Diceros bicornis minor: one gene and its partner. The protein of the gene in region 1 purifies or fractionates together with the protein of each later gene. This does not show direct contact. Links are inferred from orthologs where the notes say so. Each region holds a gene or a part of one and is shown on either strand. Other genes may lie near its edges.

Region 1 (15,950 bases):
ATCATTGGGGCTGGCCCGGTGGCGCAAGCGGTTAAGTGGGCGCGCTGTGCTGAGGCAGCCCGGGGTTCGCCGGTTCAGATCCCGGGCGCACACTGACGCACTACGTGGCAAGCCATGGTGTGGCGGTGTCCCATATAAAGTAGAGGAAGATGGGCATGGATGTTAGCCCAGGGCCAGTCTTCCTCAGCAAAAAAAAAGAAGATTGGCAGATGTTAGCACAGGGCTGATCTCCTCACAAAAAAATAAAAGGGTCCGATTGGTTTATGAACATAGCATTTTGTAGCCAAGAGTTATTAGGCATTCATTCCTTTCTCCTTTCCTCTAATAAATATTTATAAAGCACCTATTTATGTGCCAGGCACTGGGCTAACTTTGGAGATATAGCAAGGTTCTCAGGGAGCTAACATTCAAATCAGTAAAGCAAATAAATAAGTTGTTATAATTTAAAGTGATAGGAAAAAACACTCTGAGGACATTTTAAGGGGAAAAGAGTGGGAAAAAATAACAGGAGGCAGAGAGATTTTTCACACAAAGACAATGGTATGTGCTATAGGGACACAGAACTTGGGAAGACATAGACAGCTAAAGCCATACTTAAGCTCTACTAGATTTTTTCCATTTATTCGAATTATTAAACCCAAGGAAGAGAAGGACATGATATAGGGCTAATGAGGCTGATATAATCCAATAAGGATTTCTCTTAAATTTTGTGACACTATGTGCAGATTTTTACACAAAAGTAGCTAATAAAACTTGGGCATTTTATATAGCTGTTAGATTAAGATTTTTTTGGCAATCAATAAAATACACTGCTAACTTCTTTGATAAGTCTTTAATGACAAAAATCAGAATTACAGCTGCCTAATAAACTGATAGGGTGCCACTGAAATCTTAGCAACCTAGCTATAGTTGCATCTCTATTAGAGATAATAAATTTTATCAATTTAGTCAAAATGCTTTAACATACTTACTTTGACTGATTTACATCAATAAGAGAACCTATTTTTGATGTGGTAAAAGAAATATGTTCATCTCCAATTACAATTTCAAGTTCCTGAAAAAAATAAAATAGAGAAATGAAGTTAATATAAAAGTCCACCCCAGAGATATCTGTATTCGTGCTACCAAAATGTCCCAATTTTAGCTGCAAGGTTTCTGGTAGTCATAGAGGAGGGGAAAAAAAAAGAAACGATTTGTTAAACAGAAACCGCATCTATAAAATAATAACCTCATCAACTGTTCAATAGTCCCCAATGTTAGGACCAACCAAAACTGCTTTCCAGAGATCTCATAAAGAAGATACTATAAAATGTCACTTAAGAGTGACAGAGAAATGTTACTTATGTCAGTAAAAACTAAAGGCATCACTTTGAAGCATAATGTAAAAATAATATGGGTAAGCCTATTTTTAATATAATAAATACAAACACATTTACCCTTTCTACCAGGCTCTAAAAATAAAATGCATAATATTAAAAATAGTACCTCTTTAGCACCTACTATGTGTCAGGCCCTGCTGCTAGGGACTTTATAAACATTATCTGTAATCCCTAAAATACCCTTATCAGGTAGGCTTTATTAGGCTCATTTTACAAATGTGAAATCCAAGACTCGTAAGGCAAAGGAAAAAACTTGTTGATATTTCAACCACTAATAAGTGATGGTACTGATATTTGAATCCAGGACTGCAAGACTGAAAGGCTCATACTCTTTCGACTTCACAAAACATTAAAATTAAGAACTAGTAAAACAAATACAACGTAATGTAGATGTTCCCAGTGGGCCATAATTACTGTATAAATTTTTCTCTATATTTTATCTGCAAATCCAAAACCAATAATTAAGAGGCTACGTCTGTGATTTTTCAGGTTAAATAACAGACGCCATTAAAGATATTCTTAGCTACACAGTTGATCAAAAGACCTAAGTATGTACAGTTTATGCCACACACAAAATGGAAAATTAAGTAAGACTCAAACAAACATAGCATCTTCGACTTAAAGATCCAATGGACAACTTCTGGAGCATGCCTAATCCTCCCCCACCAACCAAAACACATGAACACATCACTAAGTGGGTAGATGAAAACATTGGGCTCTCCGAGTCTAAAAGAGATACACAGTTTACTGTCGCTGTTTATTTTTTAGTATACATGTGTATATACATAAAATAAACTGAGATCTAAACTTACTTTTTAAAAGTGTTTACAATGCATAAAATAAATACTGTTAACTATTACCTTTGCTTTCCTAAATAATGTTTCTTTAAATAGAAGAGTTAAGTTGCTGCTACAGAGCATCAGCATATTAGATTTCTCCACATTTTCTTCTAGTCAAAGAAGGTGTTATAATGTATAATCCTTGGGAATATAAAAAAGTGAAATTAAATGCTTCTTCCTCCAGGGGTCGTATCTCATTTCTCCAAGAGTTGAAAGGACCCAATTCAGAAATCAAACTGCCTTTCCACAGAGTGAAATGAGGCCTTCAGAGCTCTTCAGAAGCCCTCTGAGACACATCAATTACTCTGAAGGGAATATGAGAGGCAAAGGTCAGTTTGAATAAACCAAATCCTTCTCTGGGGCATAAAGATGCAAATAAGAGTTTTCAAAGTTATAAATTTGGAGACAATAAATTTTCATAGTCAATGAGATCCTAAATCTCGAATTTAACAAACACCTGTTCTTATTCCTAATAAAAGTGATTAACATATAATACATATTATTCATAACAATGTGAAAACATGCTAACTTTGTGGTGACTACAGAGGAGACTGTTCAGAAAGATGTCTAAATTTACAGCTATGCATTGCCTCCTTTACTACTGGGAAGTAGCAGAGAAAATGAGGCTAAGTAAAAGAAAATTAAAGAGTATTTCCCAGGTGCCTACTAAACAGAAAACCAAAGAATCAATAAGGATCTATTTTAAATAAATAAAGAGAAACACAACAATTATATTATCAATTTCTAATATTTATGCATTTAAAGAATCACTAAATACAAACCTGTCGGCCAACCCTGTCAGGGGGAGGCCACAAAGCATCGTCTTCTTTTGTAATTTCACTGTCATCAATAATTCTCTTCAGTTCTTCCATTACACTCTTGTGTACATAAGCCTGAAAATAAGTCATAATAAAAATTTCATAATGCTTCTCTATTGTTTCCCACAACTCAGAAGGAAATGACAAAACGTAATTACAAACCCTGAATATTCAAACAGAATATCACAGAAAAATTTAATTATAATTCCAAAAGTACAAGATGGGAGAGAATCATTCATCCTACGTTTTTTCTTCACTCCCTTGCCCTTTCCTTTAATATATATTTTTCCCTCTTCACATCACTAACTCCCTTTTAAAACTCTGTATTCTGCCTTTGTAACATGGGATTCAAACATCTCCAAGCGGTTAATGGTGACAATGCAAAACCTATGAGGTGAACAGAGACAAACGCAAGTGCACATCATAGTGCTCTGAACTTTTTCTTATCTCCAACTTTTAGGCCTTTCATTTAAAGTTCATACTGTGTTTAAATCATGATTATCAATTAACAGTGAATAGAGTAAAATGACAAATTATAAAATGAATTAAATGATATGTTCAAATGTGGGACTACAAATTAATATATTCAGATTGCTTCTTTCGTTGTTACAGATGCTACAATTATACCTGATTTAAGTAGAATCCCTTTTCAATCTATAAATTGGCTTCTTTTTTACAGTACAGCTTAGATATACTTTAGTAAATTCAACACAGACAAGAAGAAAATGAGCTAAATGTAAAAAGTTATACATTCAAAAAAACCTTACCTCTTTTCTGATCATGACATCATTTTTGTAATTGCTGTTGTTGGCATATCTAAGCTTTCCTGTGGGGAGTGGAAAACAATTCAATCTATAACAGCAAAAACTGCTAAAAAAAGATAAATGACATCGTAAGCAATTTTGAACATAAAGACTATTTTATACTACTAGTTTTATTAATATTTCCTCCCTCCTAGCATAAGATCAATGCTAGACATATAAATACTCAAAAATTTACTGGTAAATTGGCTGCAGTTGAAGCTACTCAAATTTTTAAATATTCTATGCCTTTGATATAATTTTTAAATATTCAATATAATTTTTAAGTATTCCACGCCTTCAATGTAATTAAATATAATGGAAGGGCCATTTTCTTAAGCTATGTCATGAACTAGACAGGGAAGCTGAAAAAGGAAGAAACGTTTCTTTTAAAGTTTATTTTATATGTCTGTATTTGTGCTAAGTGATTTACCCAGAGCATTTAATCTAATCTGTAAAACAACCCTAAAATGTAGGTTTTATTCTCTCACCTATTCATAGGTGAGAAAACAGTTAAGTAACTTGCCCAAGGTCACACAAGATGCAGATCTAGATCTACCTTCCTCCAATACTCACGCTTTCCTCGCTACTCCAAAATGTTCTTTTAATTATTTTCTTTCAAATTAATGTATGTATATAATATGGCAATGCTAATAGTTTAGAATCGTGACTAGGAAGCATACAAACTATGTGCTGCTTCTGGATAAAGGCTGGCCAGTTTGTTAGCTGATCTATGTTTAATTTTAATCCATCATGACTTTTGTACTCCCTGATACATGCTTCTCCTCACGCCTAGTCAGTTGTCCAGGTAAAATGTAATGTGGTCCTGATCCTCTAAAATGATAGGTTACCCTAATGAGGTGAATCCCTTAGGAATCACTGTCTTTGTGAGTCACTATTACTGATCAAAGTACGTGGATGGTGTGGTGGCAGACAAATGGATGAGAACCACTGTTCAGGCATGAAATTTCCCTGATAATAATAGACAATTTATGTCACTGGATAAAAGTAACATGAACAAGCTAAATGATGTTCACAGACAAACGCACTGAAAACAATATCACAAAAGGAAAGAACAGATAGAGAATTCAGGTAAATTGGCTCTTTAGCTACATTTGGAAGAGATCTGAGAATAAGGTGATGAAAGTTTCTAAATAATTGCAGGGTTCTAGTTCCTTACGTTCTGCCTGAAACGTCTGATACTCTTCCCCTTTTGTAATATGTGATCCTCTCCTAATTTTTCTTTCATGCTTTCACAGAACTTTGTCCAAAGCATGAACATAGCACCTAACACTTAATATCCATACTGCTTTATGGTTAGTTTCATGTCTGTGTCCCTCATCAAAACATTTAACTCCTTGAGGATAATTAAAGTCTTACTCGTTGTAAATTCAATTTTCGTATTTACACGTAGCCCAGCAAATAATATGCTTTCAAAAAAGAAACGTCTACGCAGTTGGACCGTCCTTGTTTCCAGAAGAGTTCAGTATACAACAACACTCTCTAAAGAGAATCAGAGCTGTGAAAAGATAGACTCTGCTTCACACTACATGGGCAGCAGGCAGTTCCACCTCGCCCTAGGCTCAGGCAGCTCTCAGCAGTCTGACTTTTTTTCTCAGAGGCCAAGAAAATACCTACTCTCATTTCAAGACTCATCTCAACTGTCACCTTCTCTAGAAAGTTTTCCCCGATTCCTTCATGTAGAACTAACCGCTCGCCTTTTTTTATATTCTTAATACATCCAATGAAGAATAACTGTATTTAAGTACGCAAAACACTCATTTTTCTACACGTCGAGCGCCCCCCTTCGGAGCAGGTCTCCTTCGTTTTTCGACATGTTGCCTTACATACAGCGCCTGAATGAATAAAATGGATGAATGGGTAGTCGGAAAGTTACTGGTCCGGGAAGATTGTAAGTATCCATCGGACCACCGCGTGGTGGGGTGTTCTTAAAAATGTTCAAGCACGTATTAGGTCGATAAACCAGATGGCATTGAAAGTCTCTTCCGGTGTGCTGATTCTAGGATTCTGATTAACGTGGGTTCAGCTTTTCAGTATCTGGCATGAGTGGCTTTTCTGAATTAATTTCCACCCTTTAATTATCTTTTATTCACAAAACCAATTTAACCTCTTATATTCCTTAGCTCCTCTTTACTTCGTCTCAAGCAGCGCTTGCAAACCCGCGGAGGCTCGCACACCCCACCCCGCCTCCTCCGCGGCCAGCCCCGAGCTTCCCCGAGCTCAGCGCCGCGCTGGGTGCGGCCCCGGCGGCCACTCCTCTGCTCACCGTCGGGCCGAAACTCAAACTCCAGAAACTCGTGTCCAAATTTTCCCTTGTGCCCTACGTAGTAGCGCAGGTAAAAATCGCTGGCCATAGCCATTTTCGTTCCCGGAAAGCCCGCCGAAGGCCTGGCCACCGTGCCGCCGGGCGCCTGGCAGTGACGTCAGTCGCCCAGGATAAAATCGTCACCACGGGCGCGCCCTTTCCGCCTCCCGGGTCCCCAGGGGAAAGGGGGAAGGTGGCGTCTCGGAGAGACCCGGAGGTACGGGATGGAGGGTAGTAGCGACGTGTATGTAGCTTTACTAGGATTGGAAGCACATTACTTTCCAAATTAAATAGATCCAATTATATTAGCAAAGCAGAGAAGTGTGAAAATACGATAGCCTTTTTTATGGGCTTAGGAAGAAGGTATGCAAATCGCTTTTTCCGAGTCTCTAATTCTCGCGGGATTTTTTGAGCTTGCTGTGGCATCATTCCCCTTTAAATGGTGGGATGAGTAAAGATAAAGCCCAGAATAGGTGGCAGACTTGGATACAACGCTTTCTCCTGGTAGGTTTCTAACACGGGGCTTTCCCCTTTGGACAAGGATTGCTAGTTATCCGGCAGCTAGAAACCTGTAATAATAGAGACAAAGTAGAAAGAATCCATCAGACAAAAGGTGTGAAATTTTGAAAGGCACATTGACACTGAAAATTCCTTACAGTCATGGTATAAAAGAGTTCCTTTTAATAGCAAAACTTCTTTCATTCAGTAAAGGTTAATCTTCAGTGGCCTGTGGAGTGTTGGCAATATGACTTAAAATCAAATGTTTTAGCCCACGTTTCCTACCAAATAAAACTAAATTGGAGAAGTGAACGAATGCTCTAGTGTGGGATGGAGCTTGAATAATGAGGAAACACAGGGTGAGCTTTTACACAGTCTATTCTTCAAATATTAATGACCACCCTCCTTTTATCAACACACAAACTAATCCTGCCTGTTGGGTGACCTTTAACCTCCAGTGGGATTTAGTAGAAAGAGTGGCTGTCAGAAGACCTGGGATTCATTCCCAACACGTACCTCTACCTAACCTTGGTCACGTCACTATCTCTGAGCCTGTTTGTTCATCAACCAAGTGAATATTCTACAGTCAATTTTTCCAAGCTCACAGAATTGTTGAGAGGATCAAATGAGGTACTGCATGTAAAATAAACTTTAAAATTTATAAAACATTATATAATGAGTTTGTCAAAACTCATTGACAAGCATTTCCTATGTGCCAGAAAGGGTTGGACACTAGTAATAAAAAGATAGAGCCCTTTGCACTTGTAGTCTGTAAAAGAAAGCAAACATGTAGACCAATAATTGCACAAGGTAGCAATTGGTATAAGAAAGAATTTTTTTAAGTGCTGGTAGTACACAGAGGAAGCAAGTCACTTTATTGGAGAATAGAGGAAGTTGAAGAAAGGGAAGTATCAGGGAAGGCTTGTGACAAAATGTGCTATTTGAATAGGACCTTGTTGGATAAGTTCAGTATATGTTCAGAGGGATGGGAAAGCATTTCAGGAAGAAAACAGCCTGAGCAAAGACACAGTTGTATGAAAATGCGTGATGTGGGAAAGCCAAAAAATTTAGTATAGCTAGAACATAAGGTTCATGTAAGTGGAAAAACTAGAAAGGCAGACTGGGCCAGGTTATGTTGAGTCTATATTAATTGTATAACTGTCAATATAGAAATCCATATTAACCATTGTATAAGTGTTAATATAGAAAAATTATTCAGTTCGTACTATAGGCTGCCATTATGGAAAATACACAAGAAACATAAAGAACCATCCCTTAACACTGGGGTGAAAATTAACCATTTCACTTTGCCCAGGACTGAGGAGTTTCCTCAGATGAGGGACTTTCAGTTTTAAAACCTGGAAAGTCCCAGGCAAACTAAAATGAATTGGTCACTGTACTTACTACAAGAATACCGCACAGAAATTGGACCACACTGTTGCATAGTATCTCTGAAAATATAGGCATAATCCATTTGTTTTGTGGGAGTTTTTTTGTAGGGAGCCTCATTCAGTATCTTTCGATTCCCTAATGCATTTATTCAGATTTTTGGCACATGTGCCAGTGTTCATCCTCATGCCTACTGGAATAGAGCTACAGCTACCAGAACTGTGACTACGGAACTTAAGGAATATACAGTGTTAAGAACTTTATCTGTGGGCCAATTGTTGTCTTTATCCCCTAAAAAGACTCCTGAGCTCAAGACTAATCCTTTCTAACCCTGTTTTTAAGATGAAATGTGAAAATATGTGTACTTAATCCGTCATATATTTAGCCCCCTAAAAAACGTCAAAATGTATATCTCTAGTATCACTATGTTAGTGCTGTCTAGTCACCTCCTGGGGACCCCGTGTAAAGCAGAACAGAACCCTGCCCCGTCTTTTTGTGCCAACCTCTCACCTTCCAGTGCTGTATCAGAGAGTGCTTCACTGCTAGTCATAGAGTTTTCACCGCCAGTTTTTCTGGAAGTGGGTGGCCGGGTCCTTCTTCCTAGTCTGTCTTAGTCTGGAAGCTCTGCTGAAACCTGTCCAGCATGGGCGACCCTGCTGGTGTTTGAAATACTGGTGGCAGAGCTTTCAGCATCACAGCAACATGCGGCTGCCACACTATGACAACTGACAGATGGGTGGTGTGGTTCGCTGACCGGAAAGACGAACCCAGGCCGCAGCGGTGAGAGCACCAAATCTTAAGCACGAGACCAGCAGGGCTGGTATCTAGTATCACTGTAAGGATTGCAAAGGGATAAAGCGTTTGTGTTTTGTGTTCTTTTTGGATGTTGCAGAGACGTGGAAACGTTCTGAATGGCTACTGAGCACTTGAAATGTGGCTTGTGAGACTGAGAAACTGAATTTTTTTATTTTTAAATATTACTTAATTTGTATGAATTTAAATTAATATTTAAATAGCCACATGTGTCCACTGACTGCTGTAGTGGACAGTGCAGTTATATAAGAACCATTTCGTACACTTTTACTTGAGCTGGAAATAGTGAAAATATTTTTTGAACACTGAGACATCTCAATCTCAGTTACTGTAGACTTCAAAGTAGGGCTTCAACACTGGTGTCACCACAGTTTGTTTATGAAAATAAATATTTGAGCTGCTTAAATGAAGCCAAATTAAGAACTATTTCCACCTTTGCTAATGCAACCTATCGGTGGTCAGCTTCAAAGCACCCGTGTGAAGTAGTTAAGAAATAAATGTATTTCCAGCTTCAGCTGAAATTAGGGCTTAATGATTTAATCAAATACATAATATTCATTGGCAAAATAATTGTTTCCAACTAGAGTTTTTTAGTTTATTGCTTTCCGGTGATGAATCAAGTCAGAGGGCTATGGTCAGAGATGATTCTTTCTTATAATTGTTAATTTAGTCTTTTAAAACTTTCTGCTGATTTTTCCTGTGTCTAAAATTCTCTCTTCCATTGATCTCTCATGGCTGTTCTGTCCTCACATCTGTTTTGTCTCACTATTTAAAATTATCAAATCATTCCTAATTACAGTTTTCAGAAAAATGTTCTGACTTTCCTGTGATAAACGCTAGAGAAGATAGTTTTTTGTTTTTATTATTTTATCAGTAGCTTTTGAATAGTTTTGATTTTGTATTTACAAGACAAAAACAGTCAGGACTATCTTTTTCCATTCAATGGATCAGAGTAGTAAATCAAGAATATTATATGATCTAAAACAACATTCTAAGGTAATTTAAAATTTTTTAAATGTCAGAATGAAATGGTCTACTTCAACCTTTACTCCATCCTCCCACCTTTCTCTCCTCTCTTCTATAATAGACTTCCCTGTGGAATTTTAACCATATATGTCTTTTTAACCATTCAGTGGTATTACTTTTTTAAAGAGAAACACCACCATGCAGAAACACCAAAATTTCCACACCATTGTTTCTCAGATATATTCATATATGGTGAGCACTTAGAGCTATTGCTAGATGATTATGACATGATAATATATTTAATTGCATTATTCAAACTAATAATTTTTTCAAGCATATGACAATATTATATGCATCTAACAAATAGCATAAACACTAACACTTATGTCCAAAACAAATAAAAACAGTGTGCTAAATTAGCATAATAGGCTATCCTCCCAGTCTGCCAGTGTTTTTGCTATCTATTTCTTTGTTTAAATGAGTTATGGCAAAAATTTCATAAAAACTATTACAGCAAGGTTTGTTTTTGCTATCTATTTCTTTGTTTAAATGAGTTATGGCAAAAATTTCATAAAAGCTATTACAGCAAGGTTATGATTAAGAAGAGTCTACCCATAAACTTACTTTTTCTTTAAAAATGGTGAAAAAAAAACTTTTATTATTCAATTTTAATAACAAAATACCTAAATCTACCATGAAAAACACTGCTGTTCCGTATGAGCATGATTTGAAAACTACTAGTTCAGACTATTCTAAGTTAAACTACATTGTCAATTTTCAATTAGACACGGTATCCAGGTGGGTGTTTGCTCAGTTCCTAGATGTGCTGAAATTTTTTTTTAACAATAAATCATAGGTTGGAAAAACAAGACTGCGGTAGGGGAAAATCAAAACAATACAACAAATCCTAACCTGTATTCAACATGATAAAATGGTAAATATTTTAATTCTCTTTTCCATTCATTAGCTTGGAAATAGCTGGTTTAGCTGATAAGTCAAAGATGCCAGAAATGTAATCCCCTTTTTGGAAAAAGCCTGGCCAAGTGAGGGAAAAACTCAGTTTTTTTAGAATAAGCAATTACTGTATTCAGTTTTCCAGACCTATATCCAGAAAAAAAAATTACAGGTCAAAATTTAAAATAGCTTATCTGCTTCTTTCCCTCATACCAAAACTCATATTAACATACAATATGAAAGAGCAGTGCTCCATGTCATTATGCGCCACGTTCCTCCCACCTCACTCTGCGCCCAGCCCACTTACCTCCTTGACGTTCTTCAAATAAACTATGCTTTTTTCTTTCCTCAGAGTTTTCACACAGAGTCCTTCTCCTGGAAGGCTCTTCTCACTCTTTGTCAGGCCAACTTACTCATCCCTAAGGTCTCAGTTTAAATGCCGTTTCTTCAGGGAGGGCCTCATTTTATACTCCCTTATACTGTCCTCCACGTTTTCTTCATAGCACTTACCACAGTTTGTGATTAACAAATACCCACACTAGTATGTGTATAGTATCTCTTTCTAGACTGTAATCGAAAGCTCTGTTTCGTTTATCTAATATCTAGCACAGTGTCTGGCACAGTTGGCCTTAACACTTAATTTTTTAAAAAATATTTGAATAAATAAATATTTTGTAAATTTGACTTAAATGAACAGTCGAGAAGCAACAATGAGATTCCACAGGACTTTGTGCCAAGCCACTCTGTCTCCCTTCTCCCTACTGACACTCACCATTTAAATCCTGATTGGTCCTTGTGGTATTCCCACAGTGCCAGAATCATTATTCAGTTGGATGACTCATCATGACTCCATCAGGATTCTGACTTCTACAAAATTTTCAATGGCCAGTCATCTTTCCTACAGCAGCAGCCTTAGATGTCCCTCCCAGAATACCCAGAGTATTCTGTAAAATCACAGACCACATGTTCAACTGAATTGTCATCATGATGTTATTTTCAGTATTTTGAAATGGTAGGAGACTACTATCATCATCCAGAAGCTCACACAAAAATGATGACTTTATCCTTTTAGTCATGTGGTATGTGCACCACATCATCAGCTTTAGGCATGACTGCCTTACAGTGTGATTGACAGACCAAGGTTCTGTTCTTGGCCATAGTAGGTTTTAAATGAAAAAGATGTGAAAGAGTCTAGGATAGGAAGGGGGAAAGAAAACATTTATTGAGCACATATTATGTGCCAAATACTGTACAAATACATACTCTCATTCAATCCTCATGACAACCCTGTGAGGTATATATTATCCCCATTTTACACGTGAGGAATCCCTTTTCTGACAATGTAGATTGTCTCTTGAATTTTTCTATTGCCATTAATTTCCATTTATTTACTTTTATCCTCCCTATTGTAGACATTTTGGAAGCCGTATACCAGAAAAGCCTATTTTTACTCAATAAATATTAATTTAATGAAATAAATTTCACAGTACATCAGTAAATGATTGCAAATCAGAAGCTGCTAGCCTTCTGTCTCAGAATACATCCTTTTCTAGCCCTTGTTTAAGACATTCTGTCTTACTAAGCATTCTTGCTTGGTTTCCACATTTCCTGTTTATTTAATAGACACATAATATATTCATCGCTGACCGAACTAACTCTTTAGGCTCAATCTCCCTAGTCTTATAGGGACCAGGAAGCTAGCCTGATGAACAAGACGTGTTGAATGTTCTTAATCATGAATTGACCCCTCCAGCTTCTAGTTAAAAGTAGTACCGACAAGGTACTCGTCTCTCAGAATTAGAGAAAAGGGGACCATCTTTCTCTTATCTATAGCCAAGAGGAAACTCAGAAGTTTTCCTTCATGGTTCTCCTCTAGCCCTGCATGATAGGACCAGAACTGAAGAACTTTACGTCCTTCCTCCTCCTTCTCTTTGAAGGATAAACTTGGTCCACATCTATACTCCTCAGCAAGTAAAACCTTTAATTTTCTCTTAATCAACTTCTTTACTGGCTTTCTATTCCCTCATTTGATTGCAATTTCTCTGCACCTTATAATAGGCTAGATAAAAAAGCATGCTTCAGGAGGAAACTAGCCTGTGGTGGGAGGGACCAGCTTATTTGTGCCATGCCGCAACAAACACTGCAGATTTCTAAAACCTCCTTTGGAATGACACTGTCCACCACTTCTCTCCTGGGTCTTTAGGATTGGGACAGTAGAAATGAAACTATATTTCTCAGTCTCAAGGGTATATGGTGTGTAGAGCCTCCTATAGCATCATGTCAGGTATCTAGGGAATGTGTAGGGGAAGATCCAGGATCCATGTCCCATTTCTCTCATTATGTCCCACTAGAAAGTCTATTCTCTGTTCTTGGAGGAATTGGCTCCAAGAGTATGTGATCACCCATAAATGTTTCTTGCCCTGGGATCTTCAAAGGATGCTGTAGCTGTAGGAGAGGCTCTCCACGCTGATGCCCGCCACAGCTGCGTACAGTTCAGGCACCACCAACTCTGGTACTTGCAACACAGCCTTGTCATCTGCAGTTCGAGCAGCAGTTTCTAGGCGCGAGTGTAGTTCTCTAACTGAAGGGCGGCTGTCCTCACTCCAGCGCCAGCAGGACTTCATAAGACTATACCTGAAAGGGAAACAAGAGAAACTGATGCCTTGACGAGGCAAATGTTTGAGGAACATGTCTTCTCTCCTAACACACCTTAACAAAAAACCCTGCAATTCTTTAATCTACTTCTCATTGTCCTGTATCTCATATTCTTCCCAGAGAATAATATTCCTTCTCATCCTCAGTACTAAGTCTCTTCTCAACAGGGCCCTTTTTATAATAGGAATGACTGAAGATTTCTCAAACTACAATCAGTATGACAGAAGTTTTTTTTTTTTTCATTCTATTGCCAAAAACTCTTTCAGAAGTTAGGCGTTCTCATCTTTAGATGCTACTAACTTGCAGCATTCTAGACCATTGCTATTACTTATCTACCAGTAAAAGCTACATTACAGCCAGGAAAATAAGAAGTTATGGAGTAATATAATTCATATTAATTTTGGATAATGTAATTAGATGTTTCCTTCCATTAATCCAGGTCATTTCCCTCCTTTATTATTTAGCTTCTCCAGGAAATCACCTTAATCTAGATAAAAGTACTTACCACCTTTAATCTGTCTTTTCTTCAATCCATTTTACCAAGAATTTACAAGGTAGTCTGTTTTCATACACTTTTCATCATGTCTCATGTCTCATCCTTGCTCAAGACCCTACGGTGGTTTCCCACTGCCTGCTATATGAAGTCGCTATCCTACCCCCTAGCTTCTCTACCACATAGGCCTTGCCTAACTGAAGCTGTCTCCTCCAGCCAAGTCAGTGTCTTGCTATGCCCTAGATGTGGTCATTAACACCCAACTCTGTCTTTGCTCATGCTATGCCCAGTTCCTTCAATATCTTCTCCATTGTCATTGCTTCCTACAGTTTTGTTTTAAATCTTAATTCCTCTGTGAAACCTTCCCTTATAAACTTCAGCCCACACTGTGCTGCCCACACTCTTTAGTGCTGTACCATGAGACTCTGTAAAAGATGCTACTTTAATAACACTGCTAACATTTACCAAGAACTTATTATATGAGTCATGGTAGTGGAACTTAACCTGCATTATTTCATTTTAGCCTCACAATATCTTTGAGGTAGGATTATCATTGTACCTATTTTAAGATAAGTAAACAGTGTACAGTAAAGTAGCAGGATTAGGACTGAACTTATGCCTTTTTGACTCTGAATGAATCTGAGCTTTTAATCATTCTAGTTATTGCCTCACACTTTATGTGGATTTTCATGTTCTTTCAGATATCTCCTCATCCAAATGTTAAGTTCTTCAAGATCAGGCACTTTATCAGTTGAGTGTCTCCCCACAGTATCAAGGATAGCCTTTTACACATAGAAAGCCTACAAGAAATATTTGTCAGCAATTTCATTCTAGTATACCCAACCAGTATCACTATGTGTGTGTGTGTATGTGTGTTGTATATATATACATAAATATACATAGTTATGATATTTAACATTTATAATATGCTTTATATAGTAACTATTTATTATTGGGAAACCCAGGTGCTGGAAATTGACCATTTCAATGCTGAAAAATTTACAAAATAGCAACAATTTTAATAGATATCTATATTAATATTATTTTCTCCTGCCTTCTTATAAATCATTTAACCTTTTTTAATGTTCTGTAACAATTCCTTTTTGTACTTTATTGGTTGTAAAATTCTGTGTAATTTTTTATTGAAGTATAACTCAGATAACATTATATTAGTTTTAGGTATACAACATAATGATTTGATATTTGTATACATTGTGAAATGATCACCACAATAAGTCTAGTTACCATCTGTCACCATACGAAGTTATAATTTTTTCTTTTTCTTGTCAGGATAGCTTTCAAGATCTACTCTCTTAGCAATTTTCAAATATGCAATACAATATTATTGGCTATAGTTATCATGCTGTACATCCCTGTGATTTATTTATTTTACAACTGGAAGTTTGTACCTTTTGATCCCCTTCACTCGTTTTGCCCAACCTCCAACCGCCCTCCCCTCTGGCAACCACCAATCTGTTCTCTGTATCTATGAGTTTTATTTGTTCCTTTGTTTTGTTTTTTAGATTCCACATATAAGTGAAATCATACAGTATTTGTCTTTCTCCATCTGATGTATTTCACTTAGCATAATAACCTCAAGGTCCATCCATGTTGTTGCAAATGGCAAGATTTCATTCTTTCTTATGGCTGAGTAGTATTCCACTGTATATATATACACCACATCTTCTTTATCCATTCATCCCTGTGTGTAATTTTTAATTTTTTCATTTTCTGCCTCCACGTTGGTTCACCAACTGACCTTTCTGCTGACAATATTGAATACTCCTTTTCCTGTCTGTCTAATTTTCTCCTACCCCCTTCTTCTGATTGGTTTCTAATGTGCTCAGAGCTGGGAAACCAGATAGTCAATAATTTTTAAAAGTTAAGTATTAAATAAGAGCCAGTGAGTAACTCTAGTACAATGGCTTTTATGGCAGCTATATTAGTACTGCAGCTGGCAGTCTCTGACTGAGCTGACAATTAGACAAATAAAACACTACTGTACTTGCATTGGATTTGG
Region 2 (14,793 bases), about 38 Mb from region 1:
AATGCAGTCAAAGAAATGCTGAAATCAGCATATTCATATATTGTTGATGATAAAACCCTTTAGAAAGCAATTTGGCTAATATAGCAAGAGAATATAAAGTAGTCCTATCATTTAGCAGCATTTCTCAAAGTTTTTGTTTGGGGAATTCTGGGTTAAACACAGAAAAAAAAAGATTTTGTTTTTATAGGCAAGACTTAAATGAGTTAATATGTTCTTATTCATGTGAATATCCAAGATGGGAATATGGTTTACAGTGTTTCCCAAATTTACTTGACCACAGGAATCTTATTTTTATGTTCTTTATTTTGTAGCACATTTCACAGGACTACTAAGTGTTCTGACGATCATATCTTGGAAACTACAGCCATTCACTATGATCCCAATTATGTTAAATATGGATATGCTATATATGTACATAGAAAGAAAAGCTAAAAGGAAATGTAACTGTAGTTATCTTTGGGTTCTGGAATTACCGAACATGCGTGTGACTTATATTTTATATTACTTGTGAAAACAGTTTCCAAGTTTTCTACAATCAAGATGAATTAATTTTATAATTAAAGAATAAATAAGGGGCCAGCCCGGTGGCATAGTGGTTAAGTTCATGCGCTCTGCTTTGGCAGCCCGGGGTTCGCAGGTTTGGATCCCAGGTGCGGACCTATACACCACTCATCAAGCCATCCTGTGGCGGCATCCCACATACAAAATGGGCACGGATGTTAGTTCAGAGCCAATCTTCCTCACAAAAAAAAAAAAAAATAGATAAATGTTTGTATCCTCCAACCCAGCAATCTACTTCTGAGAAATCTATCCTAAATAATCTATATCCTAATAATAAGAAGAAAATAACCCTAAATTTCCGCAACGATTTATGCACAAAAATATTCACAGAGTTCTTATAACAAATTCTGAAAATGATTTAAAAGCCCAATAACAGAAGAAAGGTAAGAGAGAGGGTGCGTGCCCAAACAATAAAACACTCTGCCAGTATCTTAAAAGATGTTTACAAAGAGTTTTTAATAGCAAGGCAAAATATTTATGTTATAAGGTTAAATGAAAAAGCAAGATATAAAAATGTATATACCACCTGATTCAAAAATGTTTTAAAAATGCACAGGAAAAATAAAGATCAGAAGGATATATGCCAAATTTAACAGTGGACTCCGGGTGGATGAATTATATTGAACAAAAATTACATAACTAAATTTATACTTAAGGAGCAGTAATCTGGTGAGCAGTAATCTGGTAACAGTATGTCAAATGAACTGGAACAGAGAGAGAGACTGGAGATAGGACAACTACTTAGGAGGTCACAGCAAAATCTGCAAGATAAAGGAAACTAGAATTTTATCAGGCACTTAGAATGACCCAGGTACTATGCTTGATACTTGCACATATAATCTCTTTTAATCCATACGATAATCATTACGTAACTAATAATTACAGAACCATTTGTTGGGTACTTTCTATGTGCCAGACATGTATATTATTTCACTTAAATTTTAATTCTCACAATAATCCCATTTAACTTGTAGGATTATTATTCTCACTTCATTGATGAGAAAACTAAGGCTTAGATTCCCAAGGCTTAAAATTCCCAAGGCCATACAGCTAACAAGTATTGAAGACGGGATAAGGGTTATGGCAGTAGGAACAGAAGAGTGATATGTGAACAACTGGTGTGTGTGTGGCACGGGGAGCAAGAGAGGAGTAAAAGATGATGCAAAACAACACCCCAATAGCAACAAAAACACCTAATGCTCTGATCTTGGTTTCCTATACCACTCTCCACTAAAAGGAACAGGGGCTTCTTGGAAAAATGGCTGATTCTAGGACTGGGGCAGGAAATATACAAGACTAGCCTGGAGCATCTTCTAGTGCCAAAGTAAGGAAGAGCTAAAAAAAACAAACACATAACCAAAAACCTACACTGATGGGGGTATGTCAAAGGGACACGCGGCCCATTAAAGAACTCCCAATGTCCAAACCTGGAACACTTGAGCAATAAAATAAATACAATAGTATTGGATTATAACCCAAAGTCCATACTGATATAAATAAGTGACTGAATAAATAAATGGGAGAGAATAGACAAATCTCCTGTGCAGAAGAATTCCAAATAATGTATGTAAATACTCCATCCTTAACGAAGGGAGCATAACTCTCCACTCTTTAAGTGTGGGCTGTGAATAGTTACTTTCTTCTAAAGAGTACAGTATGGAAAGGAGTACAGTATGGAAAAAGTAACTTTACAGTGGAGAAACCTTACAAACGCTACCTCAGTCAGGTGATCATGGTCAATATCAATAGTAAAAAAAATCATTAACTATGTATGCTTGATATGATATGATGAAAATGTGACTTTTCCTCTAAGATCATCCCCCCAAAAACACATAACTCCAGTCTAATCATGAGAAAAACATCAGACAAATTCCAATAGAGGGGCATCCTACAAAATACCTGACCAGTACTCCTCAAAACTGTCAAGGTCATCAAAAACAAGGAAAGTCTGAGAAACTGTCACAGCCAATAGGAGTTTAAGGAGACATGAGAACTAAATGCAATGTCGTATCCTGGATGGGATCCTGGAATAGAAAAAAAATTAGGTAAAAACCAAGGAAATCTGAATTATGCATGGGCTGTAGTTAATAATAATGTATCAATATTGGTTCATTAATTGCAATAACAGTACCATACTAATGTAAGATGTTAATAATAGGAGAAACTGAGTGTAAGGTATATGGGAATTGTCTATATTATGTTCTCAATTTTTCTATAAATCTAAAACTGTTCTAAGAAATAAAGTCTACTTAAAATAAAAAAGAGAGAGAGAAATGATGCAAAAAGTTGATCTTGGGTTGGGTAGAACAATGGTACCTTTACAGAAACAAGGAAGGAAAAACTGATACCGATTTTGGTCAGATTGGATTTGAGGTGTGACATTATATCTAAGAATGAAAGCTACTCACCAAACAATTAGAAAAGGGAATTGGCAACTCAGGCAAGGCTGGTGTTAGAAATAAAGGCTGTAAAAAGCTAAGAAACAAGCAGTGAAGAAATGGAAATAGTACGCATAGATCTGATATTCAAGAAATCAGGCTGTGAACAGGAAAGAAACAGAAGTGATAGGCCTTGGGCTGGCCCCGTGGCTTAGTGGTTAAGTGCGCGCACTCTGCTGCTGGCGGCCCAGGGTTCGGATCCTGGGCGCGCACCGACGCACCGCTTCTCCGGCCATGCTGAGGCCACATCCCACATACAGCAACTAGAACGATGTGCAGCTATGACATACAACTATCTACTGGGGCTTTGGGGGGAAAAAATAAATAAATAAAATCTTTAAAAAAAAAAAAAAAAAAAAGAAGTAATAGGCCTTGATTTTTCAATGAATTAGAAAGTGAGTTCATCTGCCAAGAGAGAGAATTAAAAGAGAGGGTCAGAGAGAACTGGAAAAGGTGGGGGAAACAGCCATGACAGAATGTAAGCAAACCAAGAAAAAAGACCTGAGAGAAGCCATGATCTTGGCAGAAGTTGACATGAAGTTATACTGAGTGTGCTAGCTTCTGTGCTTTTTCTCTAGCCATGTGCTGTGGCCTAGAAGCAGAAGCCAAGAAAACAGCTGATGGGTATGATTCAAGATAACAGAAGTCCTTGCTTAACACAGAAGATCAAAATGAATGAAGAAAGCAATGAGGATAGTATCAAAGTGGCTGGGCACAGAGGTCTAGCAGGTAATCATGAAGGCACTGGTAGACTCAACGAAACAGGAAAGGTCAAGAACCAGAGAACCTAAAGAGGGCAAAAAGCTGATTCTGTGGTTGTGAGGTAGTGAAAAAGGTGACCAGTAAGGAGGCTAACGTAAGCGATGGGGAGCCCAGGAAGGGGAAGCAGTGTCATAGGTGAGGTCCCGGTTGTAGTGATTCTGATGTGTAGCTGGTTTGAAAATACAAAGGAAAGTCAATGGTCTCATGCTGAGGAACTATAACATCAAGAGTATTCCAAAAATGCTGGAGACACTGAGAATGAGAGCAAGAAACAGAGTGGAGAAAAAAATATGACGCAATAGGTCTGGATCCTTGTGGGCAGTAGATGATGGCCCTGAGGTTTCAGAGAAAATGCTATAATTGCACGCCAGTACCTTCCACCAGGATTAGAGTGACAGTGGTAGATTAATGATCTGGAAGCAGTAAGAAGAGCAAAAAAGCAGTACGATTCCTTCTCCTCTTCCACATAGTCACAAAGGACAGAAGATACCTCTTCGTGGGAGGGATGGTGAGATGTGATATCTGGATTTTCATTAAATCAGCTTAAAGAAAACAGTTAAGAATAAAGAGAAGTACACCGGACACTGAGTAATATTTTCAAAGCACACATTAAAAGGAGCTAGTCAAAGAAGTAGAGAGCAGGAGAAGAGAGGTTATACTACTTTGAAACGCAAGGTGGGGAGAAGTAGCAGAGACCTGGGTTGTCATTAGATAGCATAGGAGAGGTGGGTTGAGATGTAAGGAACATGGAAAGCAGCAAAGCAAGAAGCATAAATGGCATATTTTAAAACAGACTGTATATACCACAGCACACGTACAATGTCACTTCTACAGAAGACTACACATACACAATGAGGGCTACAAAAAACAGTAACACCTTGCCTTGCACAGTATTTTATAAATTGTTTTCACATATACTATCTTATTTGATCGTCACTGGCTAGATAATACTACACACATTTTTCTAAAAATGAGGAAATTAGGATGGGACAAAATCACAATGAAAATCTTGATTCTCAGTTTTCAACGCATAAACCTCACATACACAGCCGACACTTCAGCATCTCAATCAGCCAGGCAGGAAATTCTTCTCTAGCCAGAAGGAATAGTGGGTTCTATCAACTTGTCAGAGGGCTTGAGAGGCCACTAGACATCTTCCTGTTTGGCTTCTTCCACCTTAGATTCCTCAACTCCTATTATCATCACCAGAGAAGGCAGAGGGGGGTGGCGCCATCAAAGAGAAAAACTCAAGCTGAAAAGTTTTACTGGTTCCTCTTCTCTTCACACCTCTAGACCTCAGTGACCCAACAATGAAGATGAGGGAGAGAGTGGAAAAAAGCACTATGTAGCAAAGAGCAGGTCTTCAACAGATCCAGCTTCGAGAAAAAGAATTAAGACGGGGCTGGGGAAGGGCAGAAAGCGGGTATAGCTAAGAGATGGGGGAGGGGAAGAGTGGGAAGGCAGGAATTGGAGAGAACTGAGGAGTGTAGGAACCCCCAAGGCTGGATAACCCAAAAGAGATATGGGAGCTCCAACTGCTGGAGAAAAGCTAAGGGCTCGTGAGGGTCCCGGAGCAGAGACCAGCATTGAAGGACCCCAGGGTTTGGGTGACCGGAAGCAAGAGACCCCCAAACACGAGACCAGAAGGGGGCGCAGGTAACACCCCGTAGGAGAGAATGAATGGAGAAGGCGGTCCGGAGGGCGGGGCAAAGGAGGGGCCCCGGGATGGGCGGGGCACAGACCCCTTTCCAAGTCCGAACCCCTGCCCCGAGAGCCCGGGGAGAAGCGGCTCCGCGCCTCCCGCACTCACCGCCGGTCTCGTCAGTTACATAGGGAGTCGCCATCTTGAAAACGCAAACCACTTCCGGCGTGAGCGGGCTGGGGTCCCGCCCCCCTCCCCACCGGAAGTGGAGTCCTGATCGTAGCAGGCCACCATTTTAGTCTTAAAGGGAGAGTACACCATTTTCATGTACAGAGGGTGAAGGAGGAAGAAGGGAGGCGAAGCCGAAGACTTTAATAAAATAAAAGCCATGGACTCTTTTACTGCCACTGATACCATTATTGAGCGCCTGCTGCGTGTAAAGCAGTCCTTTGGGCGCCGAGAGAAGTTCCGAGGCACAGACCCTCTCTCTCCTCACAGGCACTCTTCGTCCGTCCAGGACCTGCGAAGGAAAAGGGGGCAAGGCCCACCTGCACCCGGACAGGAGGGCTGATAAATGAGGAAGAATATTCAGGCCCTGGCCTGCACCCAGGTCCCAGAGCGGCTAGGGGACGTGAGGAGGGGCAGGCAAACTCGGGGAACGCACTGGGGCGCACCGATGTGGTTGGGGGCGAGTGGAAGACCCCAACTAACCCTCTCTTAGAAGGTGGGGAGGTCGAAATCGCCTGCCGAGTGTCCTCGACCACCAGCTCAACCCTCCGGACAGGGACCCGCGAGAGGGGCCTGCAAGGCGGAGGGCGCTGCCGGCCGGTCACCTGTCCCCGCAGCTTCAGGGTTGCCGGCGGCTTCCACGGCCCGGGAGGCGGCCGGCCGGTTTGGGCGGGCAGCCCTGGCCTGGCCCTGCCCCTGGGGCGGCCCCGGGGATTCGGGCGGCGACGTGACGACGGCCTAAATTTGCTCTGGCCTTCGACCCCGGGAGCCTCCTCGGGCTGGGTCCCGGGGTCAGAGGGTAGGGTGAGGGCTTCTGGGCGGACCTCATTAGTATTCTAATTGACCTCGTCCAAGTCTCTGGGCGCTGGGGCTCTAAAACGGGGCAACTCGCCAATAATCCAGGCCCGTTCGGTCACTCCCTTTGCAGTCCTGCCCTGCTCCGAGCCTCCCTATTCTTGAGAAGAACCCAAATGAGAATTCTCCCTCCCTTGCTTTTTTCAGCAGCTGTTGTTCCCTCAGGGCTAAGTCCTGCTAAACTTGTTTCCCCTACAGCCTGGGAGGGGCCGGCTGCAGGTTTCTCTCCTCAGGTGTCCGCTCTGCCCTCCCCCATCCCCACCCCCGTGTTGCTTTTTCCTTATCAACCCTTTTACCTTCCTCCAAATCCCCGGCTTTGGTTTAGGTTAATGTCCAACAGTACCGCTGGAACCAGGGAGGAGAGAGGAGGCGAAGCTTAGTGACACCTCCAACACTAGGCTGCATGCCTCACTTAAAAAACAAAAAACTGAGAGCAATGGCTGCCTAGGAACTTCCCAAAGCTTTGAAATGAAGCTTCAAAAATTTTCTCGGGTCATAGCTTGCCTTCCTTCCCATGCTCCATCTTCCTGAGTTCCACCAGAGGACCAACTCAGAAGGTCTCAAAAAAAAAAAGACTCATTTAAAAACTGGTTTGCATTCAATACACTTATTGCAAGTGTTCTAACACTGCCATCCTTAACCCCCGCTCTTTCACCAATTGTGCTTCAGCCCTGCTGGGTCTAACATCTTGTCCTTAGCCTTGTTACTAATGATTAGAGGTGAGAGTGTGAGATGAAGCCTGTGAAAACTAGAGGGATGCCTTGGTCTTGACTGTACTACCTGAGGAGTACTAGTACTAGTGCGCTGCTCAATGGACCTTTCTGCAAGAGGGAATCCTAAAGTGGGCCCTGTTGACTACCCAATGCTAGGTACCCACCCCACTGTGCCCCCAGACATCCTGCCTCAGCTCTGGGGTTGACAGGAAGTGAAACTCAAGTGTCTGCCTAGCAGACCTGCCTAAGACCCAGCCCTGGGCCCCGGATGTGGCCCCCCACCCTGAGGAGGAAGAGGGGAAAGAAGAGGTTGGGGAGAACAAGACTGTTGTTTTTTCCTTTCCCTTTGTTCATTGTGGTTTCTTTCTTTCTGACTTTTATGATGTGGTTGATTAAAGAAATGAGCACCTGGAACTGTAGGCATTAGACGCCTCCTCCTTAGATGTTTCTTGGCCTTTCTTTCCCCCACCCCCACCAATAACTGACTTGGGGTATGATGGGGACAGATCCTAAAGAAGACACAAAGAAGCCTAGAGCATGACTGATTCCATCTTGTTCCTTATTACAGAGATTGCCTCATGCCCCACTTTGAAGTCTCAAAAAATGACTTAAAAGGAGTGTCTTTAACTTCATGTAGGGACATATCTGAGGATGATGAAGTGACAAACAGAGGTCATACATAGGGTAGTATCACTGTGAGTATTATTTGCAAGGAAAGCTGAGTGCCTTAAGGATTAGTATCATTCCAGGAATTCTAGATGAGGGATTCAGGGGCAGAAAACTGATTGGAAGAGGGGCTAGGGGACTTAAATTCTTACTTATATTGTATGTTTGTTTAGGATGGCTTAGAGTGGAGAGGCTTTGCACACACACACACACCAAGCCACTCTGGTGCAGCCCTATGCTGGGCTGTGTGTTTGGCAGTGCTGCGGAACTAAGTACAGGACCTGGTGCATAATAGGCCTTCAAAAGTGTTTATGATTCCTTATGACTAAGGAGGTCGTATAGGAAGGGGGGATGAAGGATGGAGAGTGGCAAGGCCCTTGTCTTTTTAAGATTGGAGCAGAGAGACAGACCCTCTCCAACCCCTGCCTCAGATCTCCAGTTCAGATGCAACAACAGTACTGCCAAACTCTATTACTCAGCAGCTGTATTTCTGACAAAAATGGAGGTGTCTCTTCTGACAAGTCTGTCTTGAAACAATCAAGAACTGCTTAGATCCCTCTGTTTCCACTAGGGGGCCTCATGTATTCACTCCTTCTCCCCAACCCCCGCCAAAAGTATGTATATATTATGTGTGTGTATGTATGTGTGTACGTAGACACACAACATACAACGCAGACATACACCCTTCCAGTCAGAGCTCTCCCTGCCCCCTCTCTTCCACCACCAGGTGTAAGAGGGAAGTTTCCAGGAACTCAAGCTTTTGTCACTGTGCCCTACTTCAATAAAAGGTAGGAGGGGGTGAGACCGGGGATTGGGGTGGGGCCAGGGAGCAGGATGCCTGGGTCCCCAGTTCCTACCAGTAAGTCCCTAGGCCTCTGTCTCTCTCTCTTGCTCTACTAGCCTCGCCACCATCCATGCTGCCCCAAGAGCCTTTAACAACTCCAGAAGAAATTCCAGACAGGAGAAGCTGAAAGGATTTCCTTTCACCCCTACTTTTTTCCGGGGCCTTCTACACCACCTGCCAAGGCCAGCAGGTAAAGTGGGAGGGTTAGGGTGTGGAGAAAGGGTGGCCACGGACCAGAGTGCTCTTTGCACCTAAACTTCCACCGCAGAATTCAAGGAAGGATCTGAGTCTTGAGAGAAGGAGGTGTCCTTAGACTGGGGAAAACAAGTCTGAGACAACCGGGGCTTGGGTTTTTGGGAGATGAGGAACCTGAAGGCAAAGGTGGCCAGATTCTCTCAAGTCGCATCAAGCAGTGTGAAGCCCATGGGGGGAGGGAGGTATATGGGTCTCAGGATGTGGAGTCTGGAACTCTGGCCTTGTTGCTGTGGGATCTCCCAAGTATGCATTCAGTCAGTGGTGGATGGAAAGGAGTTGGGAAGGGAAATCCCCGATGGCAGCAACTAGGAGAGGGTGAGACGCTGGCTGGGTGGGCGTCAACCAAGCTGTCCCATCAGCAGCCCCACCCCCTATGTTGGTCTCCCAGGGTTGAGACGAGGGGAGAGGCTGTGAGTGATTAGAAAGAAAGGAAGATGGAAAGAAACAGAGCTGTCCCAGGGCGGGAAGAAGATGAGAAGCGCAGGATGTGGAGAAAGTGGCACAGACCAGAGCCCTGAAGATATTCGGGGGCAAGGGGAATCAGGTTGGGTGAACTGGAGACAGGGCCTGTCCGACTGGAGTTCCCGAAGATGGGGGCGCCGGGCGAGGGCGCGGGCGGGCGGGCCGGGTCGGGGGCGGGCAGCTGTGTCGTCAGGAGCGGGGCGGCTCCGGCGGCCGCCTCTGCCTGGCCCGTCCCCTCCAGCCCAGCACGGGCTCCAGCTCCCGCGCCGGCACCTCAGCTCCGACCGCGCGCCCTCCGCAGGCAAGGTAGAGACCCCGCGAGCCCCCCGCCTCCCGCCCTCCCACCCGGAGCAGGCGGGGCTGGGGGCCCGGGCGGGGACGCCCCAGGGGCTGGGGTAGGGCTGCTGGGTGGAGAAGGAGGAAGCGTGACAGCTGGAGCGGGTAGCCAGAAGAGTTTGCGCCAGGACGCGAGGGGCAGCGGAGGGCTGGGCCAGCACCCGGCAGACAGCGATTCCCCGGACCTTCCCCTGCATCCCTCCCGCTCACTCGGAGGGATGGTGCGGCTCGGCTGCTTGGGACCAGAGTCAGGGGAAAGTCTGTTGTGGAACCTCTACGGACAGTTCCACACCCGTCTGCACGGGTGGAGAGGGGTTCTTGTTTGGCCTCCTGGTCCCCAACTTCCCACCTCTATCCTTTCCACACCTGTCATCGGGAAGTTTCTGAAACTACCTGGGTCTAAATCCCACTTTTCACTTTTAAATGGGGGAAAGGAGCTTTACTGAGTAAGAAATGCAAATGTTATTGGGCATCTCCTCAGCCTCAGAAGGTATGAGCCCACATCCCCCAACCATGCCAACACTGTAACTTCCTCCTGTACTACACAATGACACCCCCCCCCCCGCGCGCGCGCGCGTGCACACACACACACACACACACACACACACACACCCCACTCCCTTAATCAGGTAACACTACCATCTGTGATGTTTGTGGAAGCTGAATGAAATTTGAGGCTTTAAGCCAAATGATGCCCTCTCAGGGGCTAGTAGCAGGGATGGGCAGGAAAGAATAGACCGTCCCTCAGTCCTGTAAAAGAGGAGGAGGATGCAGGCCCTGGTGTGGTTAAGGGATTCAGAAGTCCAGGTAAGCAGGCCTAGGTCCTCAAAGGGGAGTGCCTGCCTTTTGGGGTTCCTTGCTGAGTCAGCCGGAATGTTCGGGGGCATAGCTGATTCTTGAGTAATTGTAAACTTACAAGACTTGGAATGTGAGCAATGAATGTTGACGTGAAAAAGGAAACCTTAAATGTTAGCACTAAGCTTTGGAAATCATATTTATCTCTTGGTTACCAGCAATTTTAGTGTTTAATGTTTAAAATAAGATCTAGAAAACCAGAGGCACTGGTTAAATGTTAGTGGAACGGACTAAGGACAAGATGTCTAGAGTCTGGGTGTGACCCTGAGAGACTCATTCTCTCTCTGGGCCTCAGTTTCCTCCTCTGTAAAATATGGCAGTTGGTGCCTCCCAGCTCTGAGGATGTTCTAGGAGTGTCTGCCTCCAAGTCAACTTCTTACTTTCTTACCCCAAGTTGGTAGAGGTGGACAGGGAAATCAGAAGAGGGAAGGGAAGGGTGAGTCACAAATAGCTGGCGAGAGGGCCCCGGACCCCACCCTCCACTGCCCTGGCATTCGCCTGGACTAGCCCAGGTTATAGCCTCCGGGTTGGGATGGAGCTGGAGGACAAAATTGGACTTGTTCCAGGTCTTTAATGCCCCAGGATCTGGCGGTTTGCTGCCTTCCAGCAGCAGGAGCAGCCAAACTTTTGGTGAGAAAAGTCAGGAGGAAACTGAAAAGATCCCAGGAGCCAGGAGTGTCCTTGGTCCCAGGTCCCAGCCCAGGGGTGTCTTTGGACCCTGACAGTCTAGTTTCTAGCCAGCTTCTCACCCTCCCAGAGGCAAATTACACGACCCTGATACTTCATATCTGTGCCTGAGATATGACAGAGGAGGGAAGATGTACAACTAGGCTTCATTGGTACTGGAAGTTCCTAGAATTTATGCCTTGCTGGGTCAAAGACATCATTTTTCCTAATCTCCAGATGTGTTTCTCTAGGTACCACCCTTGTACTATAAATAATGATAATAATAGCTAATGTTTATTGAGTTCTTCCTCTGTGCCATGCAGTTTGCTAAGTATATGTCACATATTATCTTATTTAGTCCCCGCATTGTTACTGATTTCTCTAGGTACCCATTTTACCAATAAGGAAACAGGTTCAGGGAGATGAAATAACTCCCCACGAGTTAGGATTCTAATCCACGACTATCTAATGCAAAAGTCCTTCTCCTAACCTCTACGATAATCTACATCTAAGACCTGGGGGACTAGGAAGGGTCACTGTGAAAAGAAAGATGAGAGGGAAGCATCATGTCCTCTCTCCTGTTTGTCATCCCTTGTTTGCTCTCTCCCTGTCACTTTCTCTCTCAGATTCCATTTCCTAGAGCCTTGGAGCCATCTAAGAATCCCCAGGGGTAATGAGAGAGGCTAATTAAGCCATACAGGCCCCATTAACCATAAAACTATTTTGTATTCATTAGATCTGTTGGCAGTAGAAGTTGGATTATAGTCATAGAAAAGGGCCAGATGGGTGCAGTCTTTTCTCCAGAATATCAGTGTCCCAGAACCCCCTTCTAAGTGTTCCCAGAGAGCCCCCAGAACAGGAATGGTATGCTACACAGAGGTGAGCGGCAGAGCTGTCCCAAGGGCAGAGGCTACAGAGGCTACACTATCAGAAAGGAAGTTCTTTTAGGCTTTAATTGCCTCCTTGAGCCTGACCCAAGGAGCCCTAAATAAGGTGGGGGTGGGGTGGGTAGAAGGTCAGAGCCTTGGATGGAGTACCACAATAAGTGCTTTCTAGCATCATTCATGCATTTAACAAATATTTATTTAGCACCTACTATATGTGTTCCAAATTGTCTCATATTCCCCTGTCAGGATGGACACTCTGGTATTTCATTTAACTGTATTTGGATTAATATTCCCAAAATATGACTCCCTAACTTTACACAACTATTTGTACAACCAACATGGAGCACCTACAACATGCTGGGCACTGTTTCAGGTATTGGGGATACAGTGGTGAACGAGACCAACAATTCCGCCCCTTGTGGACCTTACATTTTGGTAGAAGAGGACAAACAGAACACAAAGAAGCAAATGAGTTAGGAAGATAATTTCCACTTGTGATAAGTTCAGTGAAGGAAACAAAGGAGAGTGCTGTGCAAAGGAGGGAGCTACTTAGGGTGGAATGGTCAGGGAAGGTCTCTTGGAGACCTTGGATCTCTTGGATTTCAGCTTGGGCGAGAAGTCAGCTCTGCCAAGACTGGGGAAGGGTGTTCCAGGCAGACAGAACAGTAAGTCTCATGGCCCTGAGCAGGGAAGAATTGGCGTGCTTGAGGAACAGAAAGGAAGGCAGTGGACTAGAAGGCAGTGTGTGAAGGACCAAGTGGAACGAGAGGAGGACAGAGAGACAGGCAGGGGCCCCACATGGGGTTCTCGGGTTAGAGCTTTGGCCTCCTCCACTTATCACCTGCCTTAGGAAGTCCCAACCTCTTTGAGCTCCAGTTTCTTCATCTGTAGAATGGCTATACCAATAATTTCCTGTCTCATTGGATTAGATTTTAATTGTTAATACAATAATAACTACCATTTCTTGTAGGCCTTCTATAGGCATATAGAAGTACAATGCTAGGCATTGTACTAGGTACTTTTCATACATTATTTGACTTACTCCTCACAACTGAAAGATGGGTATCATTCCCCCCATTTTACAGATATAATTTGCCCAAGTCACATAGTGGTATCAGAGCTAAGAATGGAACTCAGACATGACTAACCCTAGCTCTGTTAGACTCAAAACAGTGCTGTACTATACTCATGAAAGATATTGTTACTGCTGTTATTGAATCCTCAAGGCAAGTTGCCCTTTGCAACTTGGCCCCTGGGCCAGAGGTCAGCATGATCCACCTGATGGCTCCTCTTTGGTCCCTGGGTCCCAGAGCCGAAAGCTGGAGCTCCCTAAACACTACTAACCTAGTAGGGTGGAAGGAAGACATCCCCCCTCCCCCCCCCTCCCCCCACGCCGCATCCAAGACTCCCGCACTCAGCTCAACCCTCCTGGAACTGGGAAGCTAAGCAGATGCTCAGAGCCTTCTTCCCCTATCTCTTCCCTATCCCGCGCGCCTGGGTCCCCGCCCTTCCCCAGTGGAGCTCCTCGGGACGCAGGCGAGGCGGGGCCGAGGCTGAGGACTCGGCCAGAGCTGGTTCTGTGTCGCGCGTCAGAAGCGCTAGAGGTCGTTGCGGGGCGTGGGTGGCTCAGGGAGTGGGTGGCTGAGCGGCGCTGGGGACCGAGGCTGGAGGCGGAGCAAGATGGGGTCGTGGCCCGGGAGGCGTGCCGCCAACGCCGTGAGAACCACGGGGTGGGCCGGGACTGCGGGATCCGAGATGCGAGAGACTGCAAGCTCGGGAGAGACTGCAGAGATTGGGGGTGGCGGGAGAAGAGGTAGAAACAGGCAAGGGACGCGTTCACAGAGACCCATATAGACTGGGAAAGAGGGGGCTGGGGGCGAGGAGGTGAGGGTGGTCAGAGATGAATCGAGACAGATTGGGGGAGAAATCAGAGAGCTGGAGAAAGATCCAGAAACAGAGGAGAGAAAGTCAAAGATGAGTCAGAGAAACAGAGACAGAGGACAGACTCTGTCAGGCAGAGAGAGAGACATACACAGGAGAGAGGAATGCAGGGAAAGGAAGAGGCTTCAGGAGGGACTCAGATGAGGAAAGAAAGAAATCATAGTGCCAGTAGAGGATGGACGGGGCAGACAGAAGCAAAGAGACCAGACAGCTGGCTCTTCCCACCACATGCTCTTGTCATCTTCCTCCAGAACTGCCCTTGTAAGTGGAGGTCCAGGCACCGGAAGTACTACTACCAAGCCACCTTTGTGGCCATCCTTAAGGAAAAAAGAAAGATGGCCAAGGAGAGGGGCCTAATAAGCCCCAATGATTTTGCCCAGCTGCAGAAATACATGGAATGTGAGTCTTCCTCCCAGTCCTTCAGTTCTGGAGACCTTACCCTAGAGAATCCCTCCTCCTCCTCATTCCCCCCAACTCCCCCAGTTTCCCCAGTGGCCTTGAGCAAGACAGCTCCTGAGATTTGCCTATAACTGGAAAAAGGAGGAGAGGGAGATAGGGAGATGCCTGGGTTCTCAATTCTCTACCCACACGTCTCTGAACCTTGACTGCCTGCTCCAAGTCTCAGAGGAGAGAAGTTAGGAGGGGTACCACTTTGGAGGATCTGAAATGTTTTCTCTCTGTA

Evidence for each region.
Region 2: the proteins of MAGOHB (region 1) and PYM1 purify together in Homo sapiens (co-immunoprecipitation; 3 studies listed by BioGRID and IntAct, with this or other methods). This does not show direct contact. The link is inferred for Diceros bicornis minor from reciprocal best matches to the Homo sapiens genes MAGOHB and PYM1.

Annotation. Positions count from the first base shown.
Region 1 is NC_080756.1:50,340,727-50,356,676, reverse strand, and holds the start of MAGOHB (protein mago nashi homolog 2), read right to left. Parts: upstream 6,259-15,950; 5' UTR 6,218-6,258; coding exon 6,124-6,217; intron 3,907-6,123; exon of another isoform or gene 3,863-3,906; coding exon 3,804-3,862; intron 3,112-3,803; coding exon 3,001-3,111; intron 1,055-3,000; coding exon 972-1,054; intron 1-971. Other genes in the region: tyrosine-protein kinase STYK1, read right to left, coding at 13,212-13,416. UniProt on the Homo sapiens protein: Required for pre-mRNA splicing as component of the spliceosome. Plays a redundant role with MAGOH in the exon junction complex and in the nonsense-mediated decay (NMD) pathway.
Region 2 is NC_080756.1:12,800,381-12,815,173, reverse strand, and holds the start of PYM1 (partner of Y14 and mago), read right to left. Parts: upstream 5,644-14,793; 5' UTR 5,606-5,643; coding exon 5,572-5,605; intron 5,509-5,571; exon of another isoform or gene 4,826-5,508; coding exon of another isoform or gene 4,807-4,825; intron 1-4,806. Other genes in the region: DGKA (diacylglycerol kinase alpha), read left to right, coding at 14,447-14,510. UniProt on the Homo sapiens protein: Key regulator of the exon junction complex (EJC), a multiprotein complex that associates immediately upstream of the exon-exon junction on mRNAs and serves as a positional landmark for the intron exon structure of genes and directs post-transcriptional processes in the cytoplasm such as mRNA export, nonsense-mediated mRNA decay (NMD) or translation.